Linked DNA regions of Struthio camelus. The main gene of each other region encodes a partner of the protein of the gene in region 2 in a complex. Links are inferred from orthologs where the notes say so. Each region holds a gene or a part of one and is shown on either strand. Other genes may lie near its edges.

What was found.
Region 1: CINP (region 2) and AFG2B share a complex: the UniProt entries of both Homo sapiens proteins name them as parts of the 55LCC heterohexameric ATPase complex. The link is inferred for Struthio camelus from reciprocal best matches to the Homo sapiens genes CINP and AFG2B.

The regions. Positions count from the first base shown.
Region 1 is NC_090953.1:12,703,695-12,714,420, forward strand, and holds the start of AFG2B (ATPase family gene 2 protein homolog B), read right to left. Parts: upstream 4,035-10,726; 5' UTR 3,762-4,034; coding exon 2,685-3,761; intron 1,905-2,684; coding exon 1,719-1,904; intron 472-1,718; coding exon 313-471; intron 1-312. UniProt on the Homo sapiens protein: ATP-dependent chaperone part of the 55LCC heterohexameric ATPase complex which is chromatin-associated and promotes replisome proteostasis to maintain replication fork progression and genome stability.
Region 2 is NC_090946.1:71,426,198-71,436,914, forward strand, and holds the start of CINP (cyclin-dependent kinase 2-interacting protein), read right to left. Parts: upstream 4,535-10,717; 5' UTR 4,496-4,534; coding exon 4,489-4,495; exon of another isoform or gene 4,355-4,488; intron 3,828-4,354; coding exon 3,659-3,827; intron 2,548-3,658; coding exon 2,421-2,547; intron 1-2,420. Other genes in the region: TECPR2 (tectonin beta-propeller repeat-containing protein 2), read left to right, coding at 9,872-10,105, 10,227-10,355. UniProt on the Homo sapiens protein: Component of the DNA replication complex, which interacts with two kinases, CDK2 and CDC7, thereby providing a functional and physical link between CDK2 and CDC7 during firing of the origins of replication.

The DNA.
Region 1 (10,726 bases), on a different chromosome or scaffold from region 2:
CAAACTCAGGAATTTATATTGCTGTGTTTTTTTTCCTGCTACAGGAAAACACACTAGTTTTTCCTTGATACTATGTTTGCAGGTGAAACCCAGCTTAATGAAACTTATAGTGACAAGACAAAGACCACTGATAGGCTTCTTATTACAGTGCTTGTCATTCACTTTATGTATTCTAAAATAGTTTAGAATATACAATCTGTAAACATATAATTTGCAAGGAAAGGCATGTCCATAATAGAGAGCATACAGAATACTCCGGAGAAGATGGTTATTAGAAACTAGCTTTTAATTTAAATACGTTTTATACATTACCTGTTTTAATTTTAGTTTCACATCTTCAAGACCACCAATTTGCTCCCAGGTAACAGGTTTACACTCTGTTAGACCAATAGCACCTCGGAAAGAGGATGGCTGAATGTTTTTAAAAGCTGCGTGGAAGCCTGCCATGTTAATCACCATTTCAGCTGAATCCTGAAGAAAACCCACATACACCAAATAAGCAATACTTTATATAATCAATAAACGTATCATGTTCCATTAGTATGAAAAATACTCCACAAAAGGCCAAATACAACTGATAAAGAATCAAGCTTCTGCCCTAATAAGCTTATGTACTGTACACTTGAACACAAACATATAACACAAAGTAGAGCATATTCTCTTTAAGGCAAGGGTTTTTTTTAAATGTGAAAAAAATTAAAAGAAATTAGTGTTTTAGAGAAAACTGTACCTCATTTCAAACAGCATAAAGATGCAGTTATCTAAAACTACAGATTCACTGACAAAACTTAAGATGTATTTACAAAGGACCTTGCTATTTACCAGTCAAATAGGCCATCCGCTTGTTCCTTATTTCTGTTTGTCCGTCTACTTCTTTCTGGGATACCAGGATCAAATTATTTTAGCTACCTTTAATCTGTATGGTATCTGAAGGAGATAGAAGTTCTAGAAAGAAAACATTCCCTTCTTTCCACCCCTGAGTGAAGACAGAGGAGTCTGCCATCGCCTATAGATGCTCTGGCTCCACAGATTTTGCAGATACAGCTTTAAAATTTTTGCTCATCCACGTCACCTTCCACAGACAAAGCAGCACAGCAAACAATCCTCACAATTCTTGTAAAAGTCTCAATAAAGATGGAAAGAATATTAAGAAGCAGCAATTCCCACTGGACATAAGGCAGTTATAACTATATGCCTTGTGTCTGTAACTTCATGTTATATCTAGCCATGCAATCCAAAAGACAAGTTATAATCACTAGCAGTTATAAACATTTATTTTATTTATATATAAATATGTACATGTATATGTACACATGTATACATATATAACACTCTAAACTGTAATTTGCACAGTTATTGTTCAGAAGCAGAATTCTAAATTGCTGATATTTTCAAAAGAGAGCTTTGGTGGACTACTCCAGTTTAGTTTTCCTCAAAAAACAAATAAAAAATATCTCCTTTGCACACTCCTAAAAAGGAGGAGAGACTAAAACCTTTTGTAAAGCTTTTTACTCAGAAAGGACAGAACAGTCCCCTCAGGCGTGAGCTGAAAGTCACTAGCAAAACTGTATATTTACATTTATAACTTGCTTATTTTCAGTATTTTAATTTCTGAGTTCTTCAAGTTGCTGAGCATTTCAAGTAAAAGCAGAGCATTAATGGGAAAAAGGTGGTACATATTAATAATGACATCCTTCTTGATTAATTTGCAGCCTTACCTGAGAGCTCTGTAACACTGCCTGCATAGCAGCTTCTCTGCAGAGCGCTGTAAGGTCAGCTCCAACATACCCAGTTGTCATTTCTGCCAGTTTAACCAAATCAACATCTGCAGAAATTGGCATGCTAGATGTAAGCAACTGCAGGATGGATCCTCTCTGTGTAAGTGTTGGTGTCCCAATAATAACCTAAACCAAATATAATAAAAAAAAAAGTAAGTAGGCATTTTGCTATATTCCTCATTTTATAGACCTAGGCAAGCAACTTTCTCTCTATACTGCTTACTGAAGATTTATACTTCCTTATACTGTGATTAAATAATTTTACAAGAAACTAATTAGCAGTTCTCCAGCACTCTGACATAAAAAACTCTATACAAATGACAAATATTTAAAACACCTTTCATTTACACTTATTTTCCAAGTGGACAGTGTTTGTATAAACAGCTGTTAATATAACACCATCAGCCCCCAGTCTGTAAAGACATGTTTTAAGGTAACTTAAAAATAAGACTTAGCACTGAAATAATACTTGCCTTGCATCATAAGAGCTGAATTAGATGATGATTACATGCATTTAATAAAATGCACTAGGTAAAACAGAAGTCAGAAATAATAGTACCTTTAAGGATGATCCTGTGAATTTGTGCTTGTCTTGCTACAATTCTTAGTCCATAAACTCAAAGATATGAACACACAAAATAAAGTATTTCAATAACTGGAATAAGGAAGCAGATCTTTGAATCCAAAAGAAAAACAATTCGGTAAATGTTCATACATGAAAAAAAAACTTGGAAAAATGCCACCATAGAATACATTTCAACAATTAACAAACCCTCTAAAATGATACTTTTAACTGTGAACGCATTAATAACATTTAAGTAGCCCTTTTCCTCCAAAAGTATAATTATTTTGATTGTACCACCCTCCCCGTGCAAAGGAGGGTGTGAAAAAAACAGGTCTGCTCACCTCTCTGTCAAATCTGCCAGGTCTTCTCAGTGCAGGATCTAAGGCATCAGGCCTGTTTGTTGCTGCCATAACAACCATCTTATCCTTGCTACCTGTGCCATCCAATAATGTTAGCAATTGAGCAACAATACGATCTTCAGGAGCATTGTTTGAACTTCCTCTCTTTGGGCATAAAGAGTCAATTTCATCAATAAAGAGAATGGTTGGTCCTTCACAGGACATTTCTCTGCCCTTTTCAAAAACTTTTCGCAAGTTCTCTTCACTTTCTCCTGGTCTTGAACCATACAGGGCTGGGCCACCGATGCAAAACAGATAGGCACCCACTTCTTTTGCTACTGCCTTTACCAGAAGGGTTTTCCCTACACCTGGAGGGCCTACTAATAGCACTCCATTAGGGACAGAAAGTCCCAGCTTCTTAAAAGTTTTTGGAAAACGGAAAGGTAAGTCAACCATTTCTTTCAGAGACCTTCCCACACCATCTAGTCCTGCAACTGAAATTGTCGCAGTGTCTTCTGATAAATGCCTGTACCATTCTAAAGGAACAACCTCTTTAATTTTTATGCTTGTTTGGGGGGTTACTAGTCCAGCTTCATCTGTCAAAGGGTCTACAGAAAGTATTTCAATATACACCACGGGATTTTCAAGAGCTGGAGCAACTGTAACAGTGTAATGAAGCGAAACATAAATACTTCTTAGCAGTTCTTTGATTATCTCCTGCAACACCCCTCTGGAGGTAGACTTTTTCAGCGCAGAGTTCTTAAGGACTACTTTCACAGTCACTTTTTTTAAGTGATGATATGCCAAAAGCTTCAGCTGGCTGATGTCCAGCGTGAGATTTTTTAGCTCCTTTGCAGTTACGCCTGCCGTTTTGCACGTCAGGTCGACCTGCAGGTAACCGTCTGCCAAATCGTGCCTGGGCCAAGCCGTGCATAAGCAGCAACCGGTGGGCAGGGTGACCCGCAGCGGGGCCCCGATCCTGGCTCCCAGGAAGGAGAGGGCGGCAGGCCCTACCCTGCACCTCTGGGTGCCCTCATCGCCCGTATCCAGCGGGAGCAGCTTTAAGGGCGCGACCTCCATAGCAGGCGTCCGCGGCGCGCTCTGCGGGGACGGGCACGCAACCCTCCTAAGAGGGCCCCGTCCGGCTCACTACTCACCCCCCCCGCCTCGCCCTCCGCCAAGAGCCGGGCCCGCCGCGGCTCCGCGCGCGTAACGGCCCGGCCGGGCCGAGAGAGCGTCCGCTCCCTCCCTCCCTCCTCCGCAACGGCCCCGACGCGCGGACGGCCGCCAGCCGCGCGCCAGCACTCTCGCTGCGCCTCCTGCGCATGCGCTGCCCATGCGCTGCGCTAGAGCACGCGCACTGACCCAGGTCGCCCCGCCCAGCCGGCGCCGGCGCCGGCGCGCGCACTGGCGGGGGGGGCCGCGCGCCGTCGCCTCAGCGGCTGCTGACGCCTTTCACCTCCGTAGAGGTGTCCAACGGCTGCGGCCGTGAGGTGAATCCATCATAGTGACAGGCGGCCTAGCTTTAAGGCCACCTGCCCGCTTTTTATACCTTCCTCCCACTCCACGAAATGGAGTGATCTTCCTCTCGTTGTCACCCGCTTGTTCTCCACAGAGCCGGTCTTCACCAGGCTCGCGTGCTTGCTTCCGTTCGTCTCTTCTCAGCTCGGCCCCCTCATCGAGGTAGTGCTTCTTAAACGTGCTCCCCAGAGTTGAGCATCCTCCTTCCCGTGTCTCCTGTCAGTGTGTCCCTTGACTCGCTAGCACCTTGCTCATGAGCGGTTGGGGTTGGGGCAGCTGTAGCTGCCCGTTAAGAAAAGGAGTTGGGGAGCCACACAGTTATCTTGAGGAGCTGCTCATACAAGTAATCAGGACACAGAAATTTATTCAGCAATGGATAAATCTGTATTAGTGTGCTGCTCCGACAAATCCTTAATCAGTGTTTAGGAAAAGTTAATTTATAACTCTTTGGCCTACAGCCTTCTTAAATTATGCAGTAAATTATGCAGTACTTCTATAATTACCTTTCAGGCAATCTCTCAGCATTGTAGAATACAAGATAAAGTCATGATCTTCGAAATTTTAATGTGTGCATAATTTTATTCTTGTAAGGAGCTTCACTGTGATTGCACTTACACATGTACTTCATACATACAAACTTCATATGAGACCAGATACTTCCCGAAATTGGGATCTCAAATATAAGACACCAGTCAGAATCAATTACAAACACAGACAGAATGTGGCGGTCATGGTTTACAGCCTAAGTAAAAGCAGTCCAGTATGTATTATGAAGACCTCTGGAGGGGAAGCATAGGAAATTTTTTTCATGATATCCCGCTTTATCACTTTCCTTACTGGACCGAGGGCTGTAGCCAAAGTATTTTAGTAAGCCGTACAAACGGAATATGCAATGTGAAAAGAGCTCGTTTAGGACATCAGAAGTGAGCAGTGTGAAAAACAGTAAGCCTTCTTTTTTTGTCTTAATACATGCAAAAGGGCCTATGTTCTGTTTCTTTTCAGTTCCCGAACAAGTTCTCTCCTTTCAGTGTTTATTTTCAGTTCCTTTTTTCCTGGATGTCAACTTAATGATTTTTCACAGCATATTTTACTGCTGCGCGTTGTATGCAAACATTCATGTGGAATATACATACATATTCGGTATTTAGGATGGGACAGAGCGCTGAATGTAAAGGCAGAAGACTGTAAGGACCTTTCATTCCAAGAGGGAGAATGTATTTTCAAGCATATGTCTTTTAAACATATTCTCTTGTTTTTTTTCTTTTCCCTCAAAGATTCTCATACTTAAGCATAAGTGCTCTTGAGTGCGTACTCAGTTAAAGAAAACAACGTATTCTATTTAAAATGGCAGACTGTTTCAGAGAATTCTAAAGTGTAAGAGGTAGATTCTCTGCTTGGTGTTAAAAGGTTGTGCTTAGGAAAAAAAATAAAGAAAAGGGCCTATCTGAAACTGGGCTCTGTGGTCTATATTCGTATATAGTTGTGCTTTCTTGTAACATCTGGAAAATCTGTTTTCTGACAAGAGAGAAACATCTGCAAAACCTAGTCTTGAGTGACAAAGAATTCCAAATAACAATTAGAGTTGTTAACATTACCTGCCATTGGCTTTAGTGAGAGCAAGTTTAGGTCCTCTTACTGATTTTTTTTAATGATGGATGGGATGCTTTGCATGAATCCATTTTTTTCCATTTAAAATTTGTCTCCTCAGTACCGAGAAACACAAAATGTTTAAGTGATAAGAAAATATCCCCCCAACCTGATAAAACAATAATATCTAATTCATAGTACCTTTTCTTTCAGTATATCTTATGGAAGGGTATAACAGTGGAAAATACCCATATTTTTACATATAGGAAAAGTGGGAAACAATTTTGGGCTATTGTTGAAAATTACATGTACAAATCAAGTAATCAGAACATATCTCATCTTCTCCTCTTCACAGAAGACTGTTGTTGTTGTGGCTGAATTATCTAGCAAATAGATTCTGATGTTTTCAAGTTGTATTTCCGTTGATCTTGCCGTTTGATTTGATATTGTGTTGTAACAGTTTGTTTATATTTAGGTTCTGATCTTAGAATGACGTCTGTATGGGTAGCCCACCTTTTTTCCAAAATCTCTTTGAAGTTTTAGATTTGAATTAAGCAACAAATGTCCTACAGAATGTGGTTTACTGTCACTATGTATAATTGTAGCACCTGAAAAAGTTCTCAGACTCCAGAAAAATAAGCGAAGGAAAATAATTTTTGTGATACTATATGTATGCCTACGTAAAAAAGAAAAAAAAAGGTAGGTGGCATCTGAAAGGCTTGGATGTAGTACTTAGAAATGTCTTAGGTGGCTAGTGGAGCAAAGGCTTGGTATAGACATTCAGACAGAATTTTGTGAGGGAATGAGGACTGGCAAAGTTCAGGCCAGCTGTGCAACAGAAGAGTCTGAGAGCAAGAAGTAAGGGAGTAGTGGAATGGAACAGAGAGAAATTTTTTCTAGTTTTGCATCATTTTCTTTTAAGAATTCTGTCTGAGTTACCTCTGCCTCCCTGAACTTTAAACAACTTTGAATTACAATTAAAAAGATCATTAAGTTAAGACTACTGGGAATTTGCAAACTTGAGGTTCTACATTTGTCTTTTTTCTTTTTTCTTTTTTCTTTACATACATACCTGTAATGGAAATCTGATATTATCTATTAATAACATTAGCTATTATGGCCCACTGTTTTATAAGAAAATATGTTTCTAAAATGTTCACATCTGAAGGTAAGTTCTATTGAACTTCTATGACCCTAATGCTTGTTTGCAGGTGAGTGTTTCAGCAGGGGGATGGTCCAACTTTATTATTTTTTCAGCTATTAACAGGGGCAAGCTGGTCTACTTCTGGACAGAATTGTACAAATACAACTAGAAAGTAGCTGAGCAACAGTCTCTAATCCTTCCTGCCTTCTGTAATCATAGTTCCATGATTTGCATAAACTGTCAGAGGGGATTCCACCCTTTATAGGTCTCAATGTCTAATCCCTGTCCTGCCTTTTATTAAGAAAAGCCTGAATATCGCAAAGAAGATGAGCTTGTTTGGTATAGAACTAATTTGTTTTGGTGAATTAGTTACTGGCTGTACCAAATCTTGATCTCATGCATTGCACAGCCATGCGAATACTTACGGCAGTGCAAAGAATGGCTTGAAATAGCGAGCTGGAAGAGGAGGTAAGGCTGTGACCTCTTTTGGTCACAGCTCCACCTTGTGTCAGCTTACATTGATTGTGAAATTATTGATGATGGCTGAGGAGAAAAGCAGTACAAAACCACTAGCCTACTCAGCAGGTAGCTACCAGTAATAATCTCTGAATTCTTCCTGTTTCACGACAACACAAGGTGTTCCCATTAAGTTCCAATTTATGAAACATGCTAGTTTTCCACAAGAAATATTTAATTTGACTCTGCTAATGCACGCTGTTAGTATTTCTAGTTTTATTTTAGTAATCTGTTAGTTAATGTTACTATGTTTAAAAAAATGTATACCAATAACGTATTTGATGTGCAGCATAAAAACGATGATATTGTTGCTTGATGTGCGTGTCTCAGGCAGTGAGTTTTAACTTCAACGCTGTCATTTTTAACTAGAATATATGGTCATGGTACTGAATATTTTACTTTGAGACACTGATATTTCCATTGGTTTTAGTATAATGAGGTAGAGCCCGAAAGTCATTATTAGAACTTCCTGGAAGTGAGCAGGATTGCCTGTGTGGAGCAACCTGTAGGATCAAGACCTTATTTTTATATTTTTCTGGAAAGCAGATTACTGAATGCTCTGCTTTAGAATTAATATCTTCTAATAGTCGCCCCTGAAACATTTACGGACCCCCAAATTAATAGTGATGAACTGACAAAAAGATATTCAGCCAAGAATCTAGTTTAAACTGTCAAAAGAGAGAAATGTTCTAAACAGTTTTCTTATCATTCAGTAGATGGCAGCTGATCTTCAAGAATGGCTGTATTTCTCCTTGCAGATCTATCAATTTCAGGGGAGTAGTCATCAGTTCTTGGAGAAATCAAATATAATACAGCATTGTCTTCACTCCTTTTTGAGAGATGGTTTCTAAAATCAAACTGAACAACCAACACAGTGAGTGTTCAGATCATTTTCAGCTTCATTACCATTTCTGTTCTTTTGTGTTGGGTTTGTTGCTGTATATTGCTGGAGAAGAATATTCCTTTATTCTTTGCTTTCATACTTGGTAGGCCAGGTTTACTTCTTTTTAAGGAGAACATACAATTCTATAAGAAAATTCCAAAGAGGAGGAATAGCATTGCTATTTTTCATTTGGATGTAGCTGTTGATTTTAGGTAGAATAAAATATTGTTCATCATTCTGAATTTGTTATAATTCACAAATTAAAATAACCATGTCTTCTTATGATAATTCTCTCCATCCAAAGTAAACAAGATAAGTAGCTGATTATTTTATAAGCTTTATAGCTTATTTATGGCCAAGAAGGCCAATGGTATCCTGGGGTGCATTAGGCAGAGTGTTGCCAGCAGGTCGAGGGAGGTGATCCTGCCCCTCTACTCAGCCTTGGTGAGGCCACACCTGGAGTACTGTGTCCAGTTCTGAGCTCCCCAGCGCAAGAGAGACATGGAGCTCCTGGAGCGAGTCCAACGAACGGCTACTAAAATGATTAAGGGACTGGAGCATCTCTCCTATGAGGAAAGGCTAAGAGAGCTGGGCCTGTTCAGCCTGGAGAAGAGAAGACTGAGAGGGGATCTGATCAACGTGTATAAGTATCTGAAGGGGGGGGTGTCAAGAGGATGGGACCAGACCCTTCTCCGTGGTGCCCAGCGATAGGACAAGAAGCAACGGGCAGAAACTGAACCACAGGAACTTCCATCTGAACATGAGGACAAAGTTTCCTGTGAGGGTGACTGAGCACTGGACCAGAGAGGTGGTGGAGTCTCCTTCCCTGGGGATATTCAAAAGCTGTCCAGATACAATCCTGTGCAAAGTGCTCTAGGTGACCCTGCTTGAGCAGGGGAATTGGACTAGATGATCTTCGGAGGTCCCTTCCAACCTCAACCATTCTGTGATTCTTTGATTGTTATTTGATAAGTTTGACTATATCTAGTATTCATCAGAACTGATTTTTTAAATTAAAGTGCTGTCAAATTAACCGAGGCTTTAGCAAGGATAGATGACACGTGTATGCTTTAGGGCAGGGTTTTGGTGTTTACTGGAGAGTTATCTAAAACTGTTAATTCCACTTATGCTGGATATTTCACATTTCAAACACCCAGCTGAGTTGAATTGAAGCTTCTTCGTAGGTAAATTGTAAAGACATGCTTAAAGAAGGAGGGGAAAGAGGTCTTAAATATCTGTATGTCTCTATGAGAGACCACCCTCAGTGTGTTTACTTCATTTTCTGGTGGGTGTCCAGTCTTGCATCTTTACACAGTAAAGAAGAGCCATCTTCTGATCACCTTTATAGCATTGAGATAGATCCATGAAAATGTCAACTCAGTGCTTGGTATGGTCAAAAAAGCAAATCAGATGTTAGGAATTACTAAAAAAGGAACAGAGAACAGAACAGAAAACATCTCTGTGCCACTGTGTAAATTTGTGGTTCACTTGCACATTAAATATTATATATGTTTCTGATCTCCTTACCTCCAAAATCTTTATTTGAAGTGGGAGAGTCTCAGAGAAGGCAACAAGAATGGTCAAAGATATTGAATGGCTTCAGTGCAAGGAATGACTGAAAGTAGGCTGTGGCTCTACAGCATGGAAAATAGAAAACTTTGAGGTGAATATGGGAAAGATCTCAAGACTGTGACTTGTGTAGAGACAGTGGATAAGAAATGCCTGTTTTAAGTGTCTCCTCCAATGCCAGAGCAACTGAAGCTGTTCAGACCTGTATTCAAAGCAAAGAAAAAGGTGATTCTTCACACAGTGGGTGGTAGACCTGTGAAACTTCACTTGAGGATGTTGTATATGCAAAATTGTATGTAGATGCTAGGGGAGACTGGACAGGTACTTAGAAGAGAACTCGCTTCGTGAGAGGGTTGAGAAGATCTGCATGAGAGGAGAGCTTATGGAGGATTACTAAAAAAGCTAAGCTCTCACTGCGCTCAAGAAATTCTGCAAGCTGAAATGGTTGGAAGCTGGGAGTATACGAGAGAGGAAGTGTCACGCATACATATTCAGGCTGTCCCTTTCTGACCATTGTTCTCAGTTTTTTCTTTTTAAAGGCACATTATTAAAGTACCACATTTGTTCTTTAAATTACGCAATGAATTCTAACAAAATAATTAGTTTCAGGCAAGCAAAATGACAGATAGCTATTTTGTAGTTGAATTTTGCCTCTTAGAAAATCCCAGGTAGGAGTATTTGTTTAACTGGCCACAAATTAGCTCAGTTGTTCTTTGATTCACAGAGGCTTGTAGCATCTACTAATTAGAACTTCCCCACGTTTCCTAGGAATTTTTTCAGTGCTTTCTAGGAATTTTCAGATTTATGCAGAATTTTGTTGGTGCT
Region 2 (10,717 bases):
TGACTCTGATTTTGCATATTTCTTTTGCTTTCCCCATGTAGAAATACATTAAAGTTCTCTCTCATTTTTTCCCTCTCTGCGTTTTTCCCATAGCAATTTAGTACTGGGGAAAAACATCAAACTGTCTATGAAAGAACAGGTGTGGCACAAGCTCTGTAAGCACATGCTTCTTAATGTTGCCATGCCAATATGACTTAAGTTTCATTTCAAAAGATCAGCTGCAGGTGTGGAAAGCCGCTCAGGCTATGAGTGACAATATATCTAGGCTGATTTAGCGGCTTGCTATGAAAAGGAGGTCATCCTGTCCACTTCCTTTCTCTTCACCTGACTTTGTGTTTCACCTAAGGGGCCTAATATTTGGAAAAATAAAATGGAGCTTGAAGATCGTATCTTTATGTCAAAAAGCTAAAATACAGATGTTTGTATAAATCATTAAACTGGTATATGCTCATAAGAAATGAAAAAGAAAATACATCTGTAGTTGCTGTGTTTAATATCCAAGCTAACACCAGCTGCTTATACTCCTATTACCCAAAAGTAAGAAAAAATTGTATCAATACACTTGCAAGGCTGAATATAACAATGTCTCAAGAGAAAAAAGAAAACCCTCAAATTGCTGGTACCTTTTCCCACAGAATAAAACTTGAGGAAAATATAGCCACTTTCCTGCTTATTCTAAATATCAAACTAGTATCTTTTCCGTATAAAAACTGGCTAGATGGCCGAGCTCCGAGGGTTGTGGTCAGTGGCGCAGAGTCTAGTTGGAGGCCTGTAGCTAGCGGTGTCCCCAGGGGTCAATACCGGGTCCAGTCGTGTTCAACATATTCATCAATGACCTGGAGGAAGGGACAGAGCGCACCCTCAGCAAGTTTGCTGATGATACTGAACTGGGAGGAGTGGCTGGCACACCAGAAGGCTGTGCTGCCATTCAGAGGGACCTGGACAGGCTGGGGAGCTGGGCAGAGAGGAACCTCATGAAGTTCAACCAAGGCAAGTGCAGGGTCCTGCCCCTGGGGAGGAATAATCCCATGCACCAGGACAGGCTGGGGGTTGACCTGCTGGAAGGCAGCTCTGCAGAGAAGGACCTGGGAGTGCTGGTGGACAGCAAGTGAAGCATGAGGCAGCAGTGTGCCCTTGTGGCCAAGAAGGCCAATGGTCTCCTGGGGTGCATTAGGCAGAGTGTTGCCAGCAAGTCGAGGAAGGTGATCCTCCTCCTCTTAGCCCTGGTGAGGCCTCCCCTGGAGTACTGTGTCCAGTTCTGGGCTCCCCAGTCCAAGAGAGACATGGCACTCCTGGAGAGAGAGTCCAGCGGAGGGCTACAAAGAGGATGAGGGGACTGGAGCATCTCTGCTATGAGGAAAGGCTGAGGGAGCTGGGCCTGTTCAGCCTGGAGAAGAGAAGGCTCAGGGGGGATCTGATCAACGTGTACAAGTATCTGAAGGGAAGGTGTCAAGAGGATGGGGCCAGACTCTTCTCACTGGTGCCCAGTGACAGGACGAGAGGCAAAGGGCACAAAAAGAAAAACAGAAAGTTCCATCCGAACATGAAGAAAAACTTCTTTCCTGTGAGGGCGACTGAGCCCTGGAACAGGTTGCCCAGAGGGATTGTGGGATCTCCTTCCCTGGAGATATTCAGAAGCCAGCTGGACACGTTCCTGGGTAATGTGCTCCAGGTAACCCTGCTTGAGCAGGGGGGTTGGACTAGATGATGTTCAGAGGTTCCAACCTCAACCATTCTATGAGTCTGTAAAAATGCTCACTGGAACTTTACACCAATAATCTTTTTAACAAGCCTCCACTATGGCTAATGGCTGCAAAAGTTATTTTTAACTAAAATTTTTAATTACAATAACCAGCAAAAAAATTTCTTTGTTTATATCAATCCGGCAGGTGACATTAATTCCTAACAATGTATCCAGAAGGAAGATGGGCTGCATAATAACTGTCTTACTCTGTGCCTTAAAAGAAGGGGAAGCTACCGCACAGAAAATGCAACTAGGCAGACTAAAAATGGAACTGCATGATGTCTGATCAAAGATAGCTGCAATAGATATTACAGCAGATAAAACATCGTTCTGGGCTTTAACTTGTTTGTCTTGTTTTAAATAGAGGGAATATCCAGGATGAGAAAACAGACAACAGGTGCAATTTTAGAACGGATTTTTGCAGGACTCTATTTCAGAAGATCATATTAGAGAGTACATTATAAAAGGAGGAATAAATTCTAATCAGAAGACAGATGTAAAACCAACTTTCAAATTTACCAAACAAATACACGGAGCACACTAGACTTACAATCATTCAGGTCGGAAGCCAAAAAAACTATGGTTAAGAATCCCAATTTTCTGTTTACAATACTTGAGGTCATTTGCTTAAGTCATACTTGGAAAAAATAGATCGCAATTGCAAAATGAGTATTACCATATGCTTTAAGGTCTCAAGCAATTCTGCACAGCAGCTATCCAGCTCTTCATTGTATTTTGGAGACGCCTTTTCAGACTCTGTGGTGCTGTTATCACATGCTATCTCTGATTTATTATCTTGAAACCTAAAATAGAAGCATAAGGCAGTTCCAACCACTGCATATACGTTTACTCAAGCCACAGAGGTTTAAAATCCATGTTGTCTGAACCAACAAAATCTCTTTCTTACAAGCTGCACATGAGAATTCCTACATGAAAGGAGGTAAGCGACCTATCTAGCAATTGAGTGAGCAATTGAGCTGGTACCATAACCTTCAGAGGAACGCTGAATTACTCTACCTCAGAACTCACGCTCAAAGGAAACAGTTGCAGCTGTTAAGATAACACTGCCTGCGATACTCTACCTTGCCTCTCTTCTGGCGGCTACTCTCTCATAATAACAGGGTGTAATGTATGCCCTGGCCTCAGCTGGTCCAGCCGACAGTCTGCTGCCTCGCCACAAACTCCCCTTTGTTGATAGTTTAAGCTAAGATACTTAACCGCGAACTGAGCGCAGGTAATGCGCAGGCATGTCTCGTAGCCCATCTTGCTGACTTTCCCATAGAAGCTGTAAACTTTGACAGAGGACGTGAGCAGGAAGGGAAAGCAAGATCTGACGTCTTTACAACAAAATATTACAGATGTCCGTCAGAACCCTGTCAGTTAGGTTTTCCTTTAGATCTTGAAGATACTATCTCTACCAAAATTATTGCTTTTGTTAAATCTTCACTGCTCTAACAACTTTTTGTCTATACAAAATCATTGATTCTTACTTGAAATCTGCTGAACTCTTGACCTTTGTAAAAACTGGTAATACTGACTTCAGAGTAAATACACAGGAGAGAGGGAAATCACATGTGTAAAGATCATAGGATTAGATTCTAACTTTGTATGTTATTTAAGTATTTTACATATCCATTATACCTAACTGTACATATATTAAACATTTTTTGTTTCTTGCAAACACCATTACTTCATGAGATTATTTTAATCTTTATGAGACATTTAAATCTTATCTGAATGTAAATATTGTATGTAACTGAAAAGTGCAACTGCTCAGTTTGACCTAAGAGCTAGCTTATCTGCGTTGACATGTTCTTTCTCCATCTCCAAGCTTTCTAGTGAAGGAAACATTAATTTCACAATAAAGGCAACCTCTACACTACCTTTACCTGTACGTATCATTGGCATACTTACTGCTCACTGATTTTCATGTTGACAATTTTGTTTGCTGTAGTAAATCCATTATCATTCAGTCTCTCCCATTTCATCATTAGATTATGCCAGTCTGCTGCATTATCTTTAATCTTTCTTGCACTGACAGATAAGACAGGTCTTCTTGGAGTACTATCAGCAGGACTCTTTGCTGCATAAGACAACAAACAAAATTCAAGCCGTTTAAACCATACAGTGATAAATCAGTGGGCTGCTGGGCAGAGGTATGTCCCTGAATTTTTTCCTTGCTCTACTGTTGAATATTGGTTGAAGTAAAATGGAACTCACGTGAATTCAACTATTCTAATCATGAAATCAAACGCCTCATCTCATCACCTTGTTACTATTTACCAGAAAAATCAAACTGTTATAGAACTAAGCACAGTCTTGAGTTGTGATATCGTAACATGGACAGCAAGTGGCTTTGCAGCGCTCATCGATCTAACGGTCTTTTGTCCACTAGGCAGCGTTAAGTTCACGTCTGGCTTTTAAGCCAAAGGCTGACACCGCGTGGGGCGGTGAGAAATCACTGCAGCGATCCCGTTTTCCCCTCTGAGCACCGGGCCAGCGGCCCGCCCGGGCCCGTCCTCCCTCAGCGGACATTTTGTCGCCGGTTCAGGAGACGCCGGGGGCCCGCCGCCGCCTCCCCTCGCCCCCCAAGGGGGGCCGCAGCCTCACCCCGACCCCCCCAGGGGCTCGGCGGGGGGCAGCCAGCTCCGACCACGCCGCCCCGGCCGCGGAGCGCCGGCAGGCCGAGGGCCAGGGGATGGCGCAGGGCTGAGCGGCGCCGGGCCCGGCGCGGCCGCACTCACCCGCCATGGCGGCGCCGCCCGCCCCGCCCCGCCCCGCCCCGCGTGCGCTCACGTCCGGCCCCGCCCCGGCGCGGCCCCGCCGAGCGGCGCAGGCAGCCGGGGCCGCCGCCGCCGCAGGGCTTGGGCGACGCCGCGCTCGCTCCTTCCCCGCAGTCATGGCCGCGCCGAGCCTCTGACGAGGTGAGCGGAGCCGCGCCGCTCCCCGCGGACCCAGCTCCGCGTCCTCCCGCTCCCCAGCGGGCCTGCCGGGGCCGCGGCGAGGCGGCTCTGCCTGTTGCGGCCGGCCGGCCGTCCGCGGGGCGCCTCCGCCGGGCCGGCCGCGGGCAGCTGGGTCCCCGCCGCCCTTCGCGGGCTTTGGGGAGGGGAAAGCCGAGCAGCCGCTGTGCGGGAGCCCCGTCGCGGGTGAGGGCGAGCGGCGGCGGGGGGTTTCGGAGCCCGCCTGGCCCGTTTCACACGGCGGCCGCGGCCGTTGCGGGGCACGAGTGTTGGGGGGGGGGGGGGGGGGAAGGGGGCGAGAGGCGCCGGAGCGGCCGCGGTTAACGGGCTCGCCCGCGCTGGGGACTCCGTGGGTTTAGTCGCTTATTTCTGAGGTGAAACTCCACGTTTTCTGTGACGTGGGTTGTATCAAAGGGCTGGCACGTTAAAAACCGGTAGTGCCCGGGTGCTGGTTTAAGATGACCGAACGTGAAGAGAAGAGTAAGGCTAAAAATCTTAGTTTTCAGCCTCCGAGTAATGGAAAACCTTTGCTTTTTGGGGACTGCCCTAGGAGAAATCTGCTTGGCCGCTGGCCGCCGGCAGCGCGCTGGATGTGAACCTGTCTGAGGGCTGGGGGATCGCCTCCCCCGTGAGCCGTGTGCTGAAGCGAAGCCCAAGGCGCTTCCAGGAGAGCAAGCGTGGTAGGCTGCCTGTCCTGCGGTCCCCTGGTGTATTCCTGTTTGCCTTTGAGTAGTTACAACCCGCGGAGTGCTGGAGTGCAGCGCTGTTGAGATGAACCCTTTGAAGCCTCTGCCAGAATAAAGAAATGCCTCTTAGGGGTGAAGGTTTTTGTAGAGGAACTAGGTACTCTGAAATCAACAGAGCCAGCAAAGCCTAGTTTCCTGTGTTCCCATGTTCCTCTTCCTTTACAGAGTTGCCTGTGCAGTGACACCAGATTCTCTCTTTCAGCCCCTAATCTGAGAGTTCTTTCTAGAAACTCCCTTGAGCCAGAAATAAAACGTTTTATGACTAGTCTCGAGCGATGTGTGTGTTAATTGAGTAGTCTCTACCTGTGTGCTAACTGGTTGTCCACCTGTTCCCGAACAAGGTGTGTAAAAGCAGAGTTTTGCCTGCCTTTGTTTCAGTAAGGTGCTAATTTTTGTTCTCCCCTCTACTTGGCTGTTGTTTTACATGAAAAACTTTGGAGAAATGTCTCAGCTGTCTTGCTGTTCCTTCAGATCTGGTCAAAAGCAGGCAAGAGGCCTAAAATTGTGCCCCTGTGCCTAAAACACTGCTAACAGATGTGGCAGTCTGGTGGCTAAAAACATGGGATGTATCAGAAAATATAACTGCTTATTTCTTAGTTTACAGGCTCCGGCTGAGATGAGAGACCGTTGTGTTAAACGGAGGTTATGCATATGAGTTTGTCTGTACTCTGAAGCGCTTAAAATTAATTTGGTGTGTCAAAGGAGTAAAAAAACAGAACTGTTGTTCCTCTTGTACAGAGAGGAGGCCTGGGCTCAAAGAAATGCAATGACAACTTCAGCCTTATATAAGTAAATCTGTGGGCATGCCCTGAAACTGAATCTTTATCCACTAAGTACTTGTTTAACCACAAGATTATCTTTCATATTAGTTGTCTTTGGTAGCCACACTTAAGCCCTATTGCTGTTTCTGAAACCAGAGAAAAGAAAAAGATTTTTTGCTTACCTAAAAGCTCATTGTGATCCATGTGGGTTGAAAAGGACAGTGATTTTTTTTTTTTTTTTTTCCATGTAGCATAAGATATTTTGCTCTACTTGATTTCCAGTGCAGGAGAGCTGATTAGCACAATCTGATTTGCCCTGTATGGCTTCTACGTCCTTCAGAATAACCACTGCTGAGCCAGTGAAAGTGCAGGTCCAGTTCCAAAATCTGTCTGAGAAGATAGATTATATCCACCGTTTGCCTTTGATTAATGAGGTTGGAAAAACAGATAAAATAATCCTGAAACCATTAAAGAAGAAAAAGAGACCACATACCATATACAAATGTGATTAGGGAGATGTTGAAGAATCAGGACTCAAAAGCAGCAGAGAATCATTGTGTGTGTACAGACTCTCTGAAAATAAAGGCCATGCTGTAATTCTTTAGTCCTTTATACATTTATTTTGCTCAGATAAAATGACTTCATTAGCAATACTTTGAGTAAGTGATGATTTGAGCTTTCAGTTACATGTTTTCACACGAAAAGCGCAAATGAAAAACCCAAAATGAAACTGATTTGTGTGGCAACAAGAAATTTTAGTTTATGAATGCATTTTTGATTGTACAGGTTGAATGGATTATAAAAATTGAAATTAATCTTTTTTTCTAAAACTTTGCCACCAGAGAAGATCTAAATAGGGTTGTATATAAATTAGGAGGACCCTAATCTGACAGCAGTTGTTTTTTAATTTATTCTATGATGAGCAATAATTCCTCTAGTGTTATCTATGGAAAAAAACCCAAGGTCATCAGGAAAATTTTGATGTTAATTAAGTGTAGACTTAAAAAAAATGCGTCAGGTTGTGGATCTAGTTGTTGTACAGGAAAGAAGAGTAGTCTTTTTCTGGTAATAGTTTTTCATAATTCCATAGTTTATAATGAATCATTATGCTTTCAATAGTTGTAGTTGAGCTGTGAGGAGAGGTGGAAGCTAAGACTGAGAATGGATTTTGAGGACTGCAAGATCTTTGACAACTGGGAAATGTGAGATGATGCCAACTATGAGAGCAGCTTGGGATGGTGATAGATGTGAATTGTAGGAGTGACAAAGGAGAGTTAAAATACGTGAAATTCATGAGGCAGTAGCTGGGGAGTGCTAGCAGTTGAGACCTAGACAGAGGAAGACTTGTATGCATGAGACTTAGGACAAAGAGCGTATTTGAGTAAGAGAAGATCAGCAGCCAGTAAAATTATTGAACTGGCAAAGCAGCATGTTTAGAACAGCAAACAAGAGACTTCAGCAGTCATTTGTTTTTGTTGTTAGTTTGTTTGTTTATTTTAAAATTTAATTGATTGCAGATAGAAGGTGATAAATGCTAAAGGAGAGGACAGGAGTCCTAAAATGCAGGATAGGGAAGAGATAGTGTGTGCAAATGTTGTAAAGGAAAGGTAAAGTACTTAGATTATTTAGTGACTCAGTAAACAACTCTTTTAGGAACTCGTTGTTCAAAGAACGAATGAATCATGATGATGATGATGATGATGAACGATTAGTGAGCCTCGTTCAAGGGGCACATTAATCAGCTAACCCTAATAGCATTTCTATGAAATAGGTGCCCTGACAGCTGATAAACACTGGAGGAGAGTAGTATTCATCTGTCTAAGCTCTAGCAAGCAGTAAAATTTATCACAACAATTAAGATCATTTAGTAACTGCTATCAACTTCTTCACTGGCTGTTTTTTTAACACAGCTAAAATATGAATCCGTATTTTAGCTGTCTTGTCTAACATGGGCTTGAATGGGTAGTATCATGCAAGTAATCCCTTTGGATTTATTGGAATTGTATGTTGACAGCAAGTGTTGCAGGGCCCAAAGCCAGTGTGCTGAATCCTCTTGTACAATGAGTGAAACAGCAATTTTAAAATTGAAGCACCGGAGCCTTTCACAGTAATGGAGATATTAAACTTGTGTGTGCATATGTATGTCTGTGTGTGCATATATACAAATATATATATATATATATATATAAATTTAGTTGCGATACCACCATAAGCGATTTATGAAGCTGCCAAACCGGTACTGTTTTCCATTCTTGGAGAAATGCTAAGTAGGCACGATAGGGCATATCACACAAATTACAGTAGGAATACTTTACAAAATAATTTTGAATGTTTAAAAGTGTTCCCAACTAAATTTGGTATATTTCTGGTTTTTCTTTCTCTAAGTAAGTTATAACTCTGGCTGAAGCTTAACAAAACCTTCACTGTTACACACCTGAACAAGCATAGAAAACTTTATTCCTTTCAGAAGTCCAGAATCCTTGTTTCAGAAAACTGCAGCTGTTTCTGGGAGATGCTAAACCGTTCTGTTAAAATTCAGGAAGGGGAGGTTTCTTTTCTTTTCTATGATCTAAAGTCATCCATGAGGAGAATAGATACTGCTGCAAAATATTGCTGTCAAGGTTGTCACTCTCTGATGAGAAAAGTAATTTTTAATTAATATTTTTAAAATTTTATATGCTTCATGATCATATCATGTTTTTCTGAAACTCTCAGTAGATTATTACTACAATGAACTCCAGCTATTTTTTTTTCTAGAAGAGGGCAAATACAACCCGTTTCCCTTTTTCTTAGGAAGATACCAAAATTTACCCATATGTGTGCATACAGTGTCACTCATCAACATGAAGTTATTCACTTGACCATGACAGGAAACACAGGCATTCAGTGCTGCTTTTTTTTTTTTTTTAAACATCTGTTTCTTTTACTGTTTGCCTGCTATCTTTAGTATTAAATTGCTATATGGATATCTTTGTGTGTCTGTCACTGGGAATTCTCTCATTTTTATGTATCCCCTTCTTCTCATGCTATTTTTACTATCTGATTACCTAGTAGAGGTCTAACTGTACTGTTTTCTAGTCACATTTTCCTTGGGGCAGAGTGAGAGTTAAGGATTTGAGCGTATATACTAATTTGATGCTTTGATCTTATTGTGCCGTCTGAAACAGTGAATATCCCATGCTTGTACTGCTCTTGATGTAAACTGAAGATTCAGCACTGGAAGGACTGAGGCTAGAGTTTGCAGACAGATGCAGAAATGGACTGTGCAGATTGTTTAGTGCCAGGAGTGGCCGTACAGTTCCTTCAAGAGCTAAATGAGAAAAAAATAATGTGTTTGAACTCAACTTAGAAAAGCTCCCAACTGCAAGAAAAAAAATCTTATCCCATGTTTAGTGATTACCATCTGCTTTTAAATGTGGCTGAACCTAAGAAATAATCTTGCTCTTATTTGCAGGACAACTTACGTTCTCTAGAAGAGTTTAAGTTGTTTTTTCTTCGTAATGAACAAAAAATGACAATTTCTGCATACTTACTTGCTAAACGGTAGCTATTCTGTTAACCATTTGCTCTCTTCAAAGAAGTTAATGAACTTTTGGTTTTGTCTTTCAGATTTCCTTATGTGGTGAAGTAGATGTGTTTATTTCAGCCTTAAAAGTGTTGATGCCAGTGCTTGCTATGGCATCGGTGGCTTCACCAGTTGTATTTAAGGAGTTTTGTCCCTTATATTATCTTCTCAATGCCATTCCTACAAAGGTCCAAAAAGGCTTCCGATCTATAGTGGTGTACCTCACAGCACTTGATACCAATGGGGACTACATTGCAGTGGGGAGCAGCATTGGAATGCTTTATCTCTACTGCAGACATTTAAACCAGATGAAAAAATATAATTTTGAGGTAAATATTAACTTCTAATGAAATTTTTTAACAGTGCTCAGTCACTCAGAATTGAATGCCTATTTGCAACTGTTTTCTGTCTCATAACTCAGCAAGTTTTGTATGTCATTTGTTCCAACAGGGGAAGTGTGAATCTATTACTTTTGTAAAGCTACTGAGTTGTTTTGATGATCTTGTTGCTGTTGGTACAGCCTCAGGTCGAGTTGCAGTTTTTCAGCTTGTGTCTTCATTGCCTGGAAGAAACAAACAGGTAAATCTGCACATTTGGTTAAACATCTGTGAGGCTGGGTAGGGTGAATCCTACTAGATTATTAGGTGGTTCTTCATAATAGTGAAAACCAGAGAATTTCTCCTGATGAAGTATCTGTAAATACGTTTTAGACTTTGTATATTAGGCTTATGAAAGCATTAATCTTAAAGCATGTTTTTCATTACAAAAGATGAATTTAATCAAAAATGCTTCTGAGAAATTACTAAATTGTAAATTTGTAATAACTGGCAGAGTATTTAGTATTTTTTTTTTTTAAATATACTTCATTTTTGTACTTGATTGCTAATTTATCATTCTGAGTCACTGAATCTCCCCTTCGCTCTTGAATTGCTTTGGTATTG